2 linked regions of the Oryctolagus cuniculus genome follow. The protein of the gene in region 1 purifies or fractionates together with the protein of each later gene. This does not show direct contact. Links are inferred from orthologs where the notes say so. Each region holds a gene or a part of one and is shown in the gene's direction. Other genes may lie near its edges. The genes, in order: CASP8 and NOL3.

The links.
Region 2: the proteins of CASP8 (region 1) and NOL3 purify together in Homo sapiens (affinity purification with western blotting; 3 studies listed by BioGRID and IntAct, with this or other methods). This does not show direct contact. The link is inferred for Oryctolagus cuniculus from reciprocal best matches to the Homo sapiens genes CASP8 and NOL3.

The regions. Positions count from the first base shown.
Region 1 is NC_091434.1:38,680,134-38,683,938, reverse strand, and holds part of CASP8 (caspase-8), read left to right. Parts: intron 1-1,575; coding exon 1,576-1,640; intron 1,641-3,450; coding exon 3,451-3,592; intron 3,593-3,805. UniProt on the Homo sapiens protein: Thiol protease that plays a key role in programmed cell death by acting as a molecular switch for apoptosis, necroptosis and pyroptosis, and is required to prevent tissue damage during embryonic development and adulthood.
Region 2 is NC_091449.1:50,464,771-50,468,675, forward strand, and holds the start of NOL3 (nucleolar protein 3), read left to right. Parts: upstream 1-1,550; 5' UTR 1,551-1,834; exon of another isoform or gene 1,835-1,927; intron 1,928-3,782; exon of another isoform or gene 3,783-3,902; intron 3,903-3,905. Other genes in the region: HSF4 (heat shock factor protein 4), read left to right, coding at 13-118, 218-283, 461-530, 742-893.

The DNA.
Region 1 (3,805 bases):
TCTGTCCTGGTTGCCCCTCTTCCAGGCCAGCTCTCTGCTGTGGCCCAGGAGTGCAGTGGAGGATGGCCCAAGTCCTTGGGCCCTGCACCCGCATGGGAGACCAGGAGAAGTACCTGGCTCCTAGCTTTGGATCAGCGAGGTGTGCCGGCTGCATAGCGCCAGCTGCAGTGGCCATTGAAGGGTGAACCAACGGCAAAGGAAGACCTTTCTCTCTGTCTCTCTCTCTCACTGTCCACTCTGCCTGTCAAAAAAAAAAAAAAAAAAGCTATATATACTCACAGAAGATGATTCTAGACTCAGAAAAAATTGAAAAACCCAGTAAAACTACCACCCCATAGACATTAATATTAATATTTTTGTTGTCTTGTTGTGCTGGCTTTTTAAAAAAATTTACTTGAAAGGCAGAATTACAGAAAGAGGAGAATGAGAGAGAGAGAGAGAGAGAGAGAGATCTTCCATCTGCTGGTTCACTCCCCAAATGCCAGCAACAGCCAGGGCTGGGTCAGGCTGCAGCCAGGGGCCAGAAGCCAGAAGCTGCTTCTAGGTTTCCTATGTAGGTGCAGGAACCCAAGCACTTGGCATCTTGTGCTGTTTTCTTGGGCACATTGGCAGGGAGCTGGATCAGAAGTGGTGTAGCCGGGACTTGAACTGGAGCCCATAGGGGATGCTGGCGTCACATGCAGAGGCTTAACCTACTACGCCACAATGCTGCCTCCCTTCCCCGCCTTTTTTTTTTTTTTTAAAGACATCCTGGCTTCTTGTGGTGTGTGCATGGTGTGTGTGTGTGCATGTGTGTGTGTGTGCATGTGTGTGTCTGTGTGTACAATCCATGCTTTTGGGTCACTCTCCAAGATTAAGCCTGCACAATGTCCACATGGCCAGTCCTTCCTCTCTCCGCTGTGTGCTTGAGTCTGAGACTTTCAGAGTACTTTGAGGAGCGAAATGCTTTTGAATCAGTCATTCCTGCTGAGCTAATGGTTCTGTTCATAAATATCTCACGAATGCACAGCATTCAAGCTGCCCACATGGAGGAGTACAGAGGTACGGCGCTGCTTGCCTGGTCACAGTTTTCCCTCTGGTGATGATGGTTGAAGCCTGTGTTTCGGAAGCCGGAGCTTCTGTTCAGGCAGTCTGTGAGTTCTCATTGGAGAAAGTACCTCGGGGCTGGAAGTGGCTCTCTGGGTTAAACCACTCCCTGCAGTCAGGCATCCCACGTGGGCACCGATTCCTGCCCTGGCTGCTCCACTTCCAATCCAACTCCCTGCTAATGGCCTGAGAAAGCAGTGGGGGATGGCCCAGGTGCTGGGGCCCCTGCACCCACATGAGAGACCTGGAGGAAGCTCCTGGCTCCTGGCTTCGACCTGGCCTAACCCTGGCCGATAGGGCCATTTGAAGAGTGAACTAGTACATGAAAGATCTTTCTCTCCCTCCCTCTCTCTCTTCCTCTAACTCTGCCTTTCAAAAAAAAAAAAAAAAAAAAAAAGTACCTCAGTTGTTCTAGGAGGTTCTGTAGGCTTCTTTACCCAAGTGCTTTTCCTGCCATGTCTCATTGTAGGTGTCTCTGCTTGCTTGTAGGGGAGGAGCCATATGGAGTGCTGGCACTGTCAGACTGTCCAGGGGAGCCAGTGAGCAAGGCACAGGTGCGTGGAAACCTCTGAACCTTTCTCCCTCTGCACAGCAGATTGGGTTATTTGACTGGTTGGTCGATTTTTCTTTCAACTGCCAGATAAACCAGTAAAGGGCAGACACTGACAATTTTGAGAATGGTTAAAAAAAAATCCACAGGAGAAATTAAAAATGTGCCATGATTTTTTTTGAGTGCAACCTCTTCAGTTTTCAATGCATTCATTTTTTATGTTAAAGCGAAGGACAAAGGAATTGGGGATGGCTGGAGGGTGGGGGGGTGGAGGCCCCACACCTCACGGGGCAGCAAGGTCAGGACTTGGGAGGAGCATCCAGCCCCACTGGAACGAGCAGACCTTTGCTTCCTGCTTGACCTGCCAGAGGTGTTCCTCTGGGTGGTTAGGAACAAGCAGCCCATAGGGCATCCAGCCGTCTCTGTCGTCTCAAGGAGCCAGTGGAGAACTTTGTTTTCTCGACACAGTAGCGCAATACTTGCTGTGTGTGTAACCTTCCGCAGCTCACGGAGTACCTTCCCACTCACTGACCGGGTCTCTCCTCCGGGTGGCGGGAGGCTGAGGCACACGGCTGCCAGGGTCAAGCTTGACAGGGGTCTTTACCAGTGTGCGTGTCTGAGAAGATTACCACAGCGTCCTCTCAGTCTGGACCACGAAGGAGTCCCTGAAGTACCGGGTACTCTGTGAGTGGTCTCAGGTTCCACCAGCGTACTCCCTCGGAACAGCTAACCATGCTCAAATTTAATGTCTTAGAAAATCTATGTACTGTGCAGAGTAAATAATGAGCACCTGGAATAGTAAATTATAAATGACGATCTTAGCAGGTGCTTCATAAAGCGTGTACGGTCTTAGCAAACTAAGATACTAAGAAATCAGATAACTTTAGCCCAAAGTGTTACATTTAGGAAAGGCAACAACCAGGAATTTGATTCCTAGCCTGGAGTCCTTTACCTGCCTTAAGGGGCTGTGTAGATTTCCAACTAAGTTCTGAGATTCTTAGCGCTGAACCAGCCCTAGGAAGATGAGCACGACCCAGGGCCAGCTCTGCCTGTACTGTCAGGCACTGCGGTCGTGGTACCCTCCCCTGATGCTGCCGTCCCAAGAGAAGGGTTAAGCCAATAGCTTTCAAATCCCTGGGGTCACATTGAGTCTTGTGTGAGGGTCAGGCTCTCAGGGGTTAGCCAAGAAGCCCAGCCCAGATAATCACAAGGTCATGGCAGGGCAGCCCAGAGACATTCATTCATTCATTCATTCACTCTTGATGGAGTTCTAAATGAATAAATGCTGGCTTCTGGCACAGATGTTACCTGTCTGAGGACATTTCTGTTCAGTGAAGGAAGCAGATAGAATAACTGATGATCCTACGACATGGTGACAGCAATGTTAGTGTGAGAGTACTTCAGCAAGTATATGGAAGATGGAATTAAAAACTAAATTTGTTTTGGTGCCAATATTTCTGAAACTCGTGTGTGTGAAAGATCTTCTTAAAGCTCAGAGGAAATGTGTTTTATGAAAAGACTATGCATGGGTTCCAAAAATTTTGGGCACCAAGACAAACTTCTCTTTTAATTCTATTATTCCACAACCTTTTTGATGTGCAAAGAGCTGACCGGGCCCAGGACAGGACTAGTGGCTTTAGAACTGTGGGAAGGGTTCTGGATGGGAACTGGGTCTGCAGGGAGATGAGCCCCAGCTGGCAGAGGGCAGGGGAGACCACACTCGCTTCCCAGGGCAACTCTTCCCAGGGCATTGTCTCTTTAGATGGTTGTGTTTGACCCGCAGTCAGCCCCTGGGTTGGGTTTTTGTTTTCCAGACATCAGAAGAAGTTTACCAAATGAAAAGCAAACCTCGGGGATACTGTTTGATCGTCAACAACTACGATTTTAGCATAGCACGGAGAGAAATGCCCAGACACCGCAACATGAAAGACAGGAAAGGAACAGAAGTTGATGCAGGTACAGAACCCGAAAGACAGAGGTGAAGTATCCTCGTACCCAGAGGTGGGGTTGCAGAGAGAGGGAGAGGTCTCTGTCCGCTGGTTCACTCCCCAGATGGCTGCAACGGCTGGAGCTGTGCCGATCCAAAGCCAGGAGCCAGGAGCTTTGTCTGGGTCTCCCATGGGGGTGCAGGTGCCCGAGCACTTGGGCCATCTTGCACTGCTTTCCCAG
Region 2 (3,905 bases), on another chromosome or scaffold:
CTCTGTGCACAGGGGGCCTCTGGGCCTGGAGAGGGGGGACAGGAGCCCAGAGAGTCTGCTGCCTCCAATGCTGCTCAGGGCCCCTCCTGAAGGTGTGGAGCCTGCAGGACCCCTGGATGTGAGTACCCCTTTGGCTGGGGCACGGGCAGGAGAACCCCCAGGGCCCAGCTGTCTGGGCAGTACGGGGAGGGCACCACTAACCTGGCGTGCTCCCCAGGTGCTGGGCCCCAGCCTCCAAGGCAGAGAATGGACCTTGATGGACTTAGACATGGAGCTGTCCCTGGTAAGATGAGGGAGGGGATGGTAGGGGTCTGGGGTTGTGGACTCTCACCCTTTGGTCCGTGCTTTTTTGTGGGCCAAAGCCATATTGGCAGAGGCCTGCCCGGGGCTGGGGGTCCCCAGCTCTCCCCCTCAGCCACTGGCTCCCTGCCCAGCTACTTCCTGGGGTTCTCTCTTGCAGATGCAGCCGTTGGTTCCAGAGAGGGGTGAGAGTGAGCTGGCAGTAAAGGGATTAAGTTCTCCAGGCCCAGGTAATGTGGTGACTCAGGACCTGAGGGAGGCCATGACTGAGCAAGTTACCATGATGGGGGGGGGGGGGTGTTCTGCAGGGAAGCCCCCCGGCTTGGTCCAGCCACCCCCTCACCATGGCAGGAGAGGAGGAGGTTAGGAATGTTTCATCCTCACTGAGTGGTGGGAAGGGCAACCTTTCCTGGCTGCTGAGCACAAACCCACTCTTCCTAGGGAAGGACCCTACGCTGGGGGCCCCGCTCCTGCTGGATGTCCAGGCGGCCTTGGGAGGCCCAGCTCTCGGCTTGCCTGGGGCTTTAACCATTTACAGCACCCCTGAGAGCAGGGCCTCCTACCTGGGCCCCGGGGCCAGTCCTTCCCCTTGAAACCTGCAAGCAAATGAAGCCGGGCTGGCTGAGGGACCAGTCCACAGCGGCACACCCCCTCTCGGCTTCCTGGCGCCCCCTGGCGGGGGGTGAGTGAACCCCCTCTCCTTGACTCCGCGGCCTCTCTCCAGCACCCTGATGAGCCCTGCACATAAATTGCATTTTTTTCTGTGTTTCTGCTCTCTTTTCTCCGTCGACCAGGGAGGGAGCACAGGTGTCCTGGTGATGGAAGGGGAACTTTGCATTCGTAAAAGCGTCCAGGTGCTAGGGCTTTAATGGAAGAATCTCCAGAGAGTCATGGTACTTGGGAAGCGGGGAGGGGGCCAACCCTCTTACTTAGGCCGGGATCCAGGGCTCACGCGTGGCCCCTGCAACCTCTGGGACGCACCCTGCCCAGCGATGCAGCGCTCTGTGACCACGAGTCGGTCGGTCCCCTTCTCTGAGCCTCGTCTGGGACAAGCAGAGAGGAGGGAGGTCGATGAGAGGAGAGCTGTGAAGCGCACTGACAACTGGCAGGCCCAGCGTGGGCGCTGGCTACGTGGGGTGCGGGCCCAACTGCCTCCTCCCCAGCTCATCTCCCGGGGAGCCCCGCGGGCAAGCGGAGCCCGGCTCCAGGTGCTGGGCAAGGACGCCCCCGCCCCCCGCCATTCCCGGCAGCCCCGGCCGTCCCGCCCCCGTCGCAGCTGTTGCTCCCACCCCCACCCCGCCCGGCCCTTTCTGCACCGTCATCTCCCGCCCCGCCGAGGCCCGACCCGTGAGCGGGGCCGCCCGTAGCGGACCCGACTCGGAGCCCCGCTCCTCCCGGCTGGGGGCGGGAAGGGAAACAGATTGGGCGGAACCAGCCTCACCACCCGCAGCCGCCACGAAGGTGGTCTGTGAGCCCCGCCCCGCCCCGCCGCAGGACTCGGCGGCTCCGGCGCTGGGCGCTGGGCGCTGGGGAGGTAAGGGCAGCTGGGCGGTCGCACATGCGCAAAGGCGCCCGCTGTTTCCCACGACCTCCGGCTGCCTAGCAGAAGAGCCGGAGGGTGCAGCAGGTGGGGATGGGGAGTGGGGGGAGGGCGGGAGCCAGCTTCACGTCTCGCCGCCTGGTGCCTTGGGAAGCATCTGGCCTCTGACCCCTGCCTTAACTTCGGGGTTCACCTTAGAGCTGTGAGCGCTGCTGGCTCTCCGCTCCGCACGCCTTGCACGCACAGGGCTGGTCTCGGGGAAATGAGGTTAACATGAAGCAAGTTAGAGAGGAGGGAGACAGGAGGACTGGGCGACGCAATCTGCGCACCCCTCCGTGTTACCCAGAATAAGTGCCGCTCCGCTCTCCCTCCCGGTGCCCGCCGTTGGCCGACCGTCCGAAAGCCGCGTTTTCGCAGCGCAGGGATGTTAGTTAAGGTCAGGAGTGCGGGTATGCCTTGCTCACTGGGATACCCGGAAGAAGGAACTACCTTGGGACACTCTGGCATTGGAGTGGACAAGGGAATATTTGAGTCTTGGGAGAAGTGGAGGGAGGGGAAGGGCACGCCAGGCTTGGGGAACAGCATCAGCAAAGGCTCAGAGGTGCCCGGGACATAGTGACACCACTCTGCCTGGCCGAATGGTGAAGGGAAATGAGGAAGGACCTGGCCGTCAGGGCTGAGGGAGGTGGCTACAGTAGCCAGAGCAGGTAGCCTGGGTTCTCTGTGGTGGGCAGCTGGCACCAAGCGATCTCACTATTGTGCAGGCTGAAGCGATACATTCTAGTCCTCCACACAGTCTCTCTCTAAGCTGGGACAATAAGCCCTCCCCCAGAGGGTTGTCAGTCACTGTGTTGTGTGGGTGGTGGGATGGAGGGGGCGGGGCATTACAGATGAGCTCCACTGGCAGGAGCTGAGGGAGGCTGAGACACGGGGCAGAATCTGTCACAGATGTGGCAGGCAGGGAGAGGCAGGGGGTAGTTCTGGTGCCTGCTCACTTGGTGGCAAGAGCTGACCCTCACACGTGGGAGTGGGGGCAGGAGGCCGGGAGAGTGTGAGCGCACACCAGGAGAGGCAGGACGAGGGCGAGGACTAAATCCCCTCTCCCAGAGGATGCCCAGCCTCATGGAGCCCGCAGCAGATGAGGGTCACCAAGGGAAGACATGATACCAGGGGCGTTGCTGCATGAGCAGAGCCAAGGCAGAGGGATGGGCTGAGGCAGGGAGCCGGCCGAGGCTGACCTCTTGGCCTCTTAAGTGCCCAGGGCCTTGCTAGCTGAGCCCAGCCACCTGAGGGGATTTGGCAATAAATGCACGAAGCATCCATGCATTAATTTCCACTGAATACCTACTGTTTCGTAGAGACACTGTCACAATGAGGAGTTCCCTTGGAGAAAAAAAAAAAAAAAATGATGGTCTGGCAAGAAGTCACGGGTAGCTTTCCTGGGCTGGGCCTTAGGAACTTAGTATCAAGCAAGAAGAGATGGCTGTGAGTCCTGCCCAGGCCCGAAGGGAGACTGCCGGGTCTCAGATGAAGTCAGATACTGGTGGAGAAGATTCAGGTAGCTCTGCCCAGGTGCCAGGGAGCCAGGAAGGGCCATGCAACCAAGCAGGGATTGCAACAAGGTGGGGGTGGCGGTGAGGGGACAGGGGCAGGGACTGTCCTGGGAAGTTGGACCTCAGGGTCAGGGCAAGGTGACAGCAGCAGGCAGGGCCCTCAGCTCCTTGTTCTGTGGATGCCCAGGGAACCCGAGCAGGTAGTACGGAGGCAGGGAGCCCCGTCCAGGGTTCTGCAGGGTCCCGGTAGGACTAAGGGGCGCCACGGTGAGAGAACCACTCAGGAGACGGATGGGAGGGGCCCTGAGTGTGGTTCGGCTGTGGGGCATCCGGTTTATCTTCCCGTTGAGGCGGGAGCAGCTTTGGGAAAGAAAAAGGCTCAAGCGGATAAGCTGTGACGGCACCTGCAAGCCCGGGGCTCAGGCGGGGAGGGCCCAGAGCTGACGTGAGGGGAAGGAGGAGCCTGGGAAGGAGACTGGACAGCCGCGGTCGGAGACGCAGGAGGACAGGTT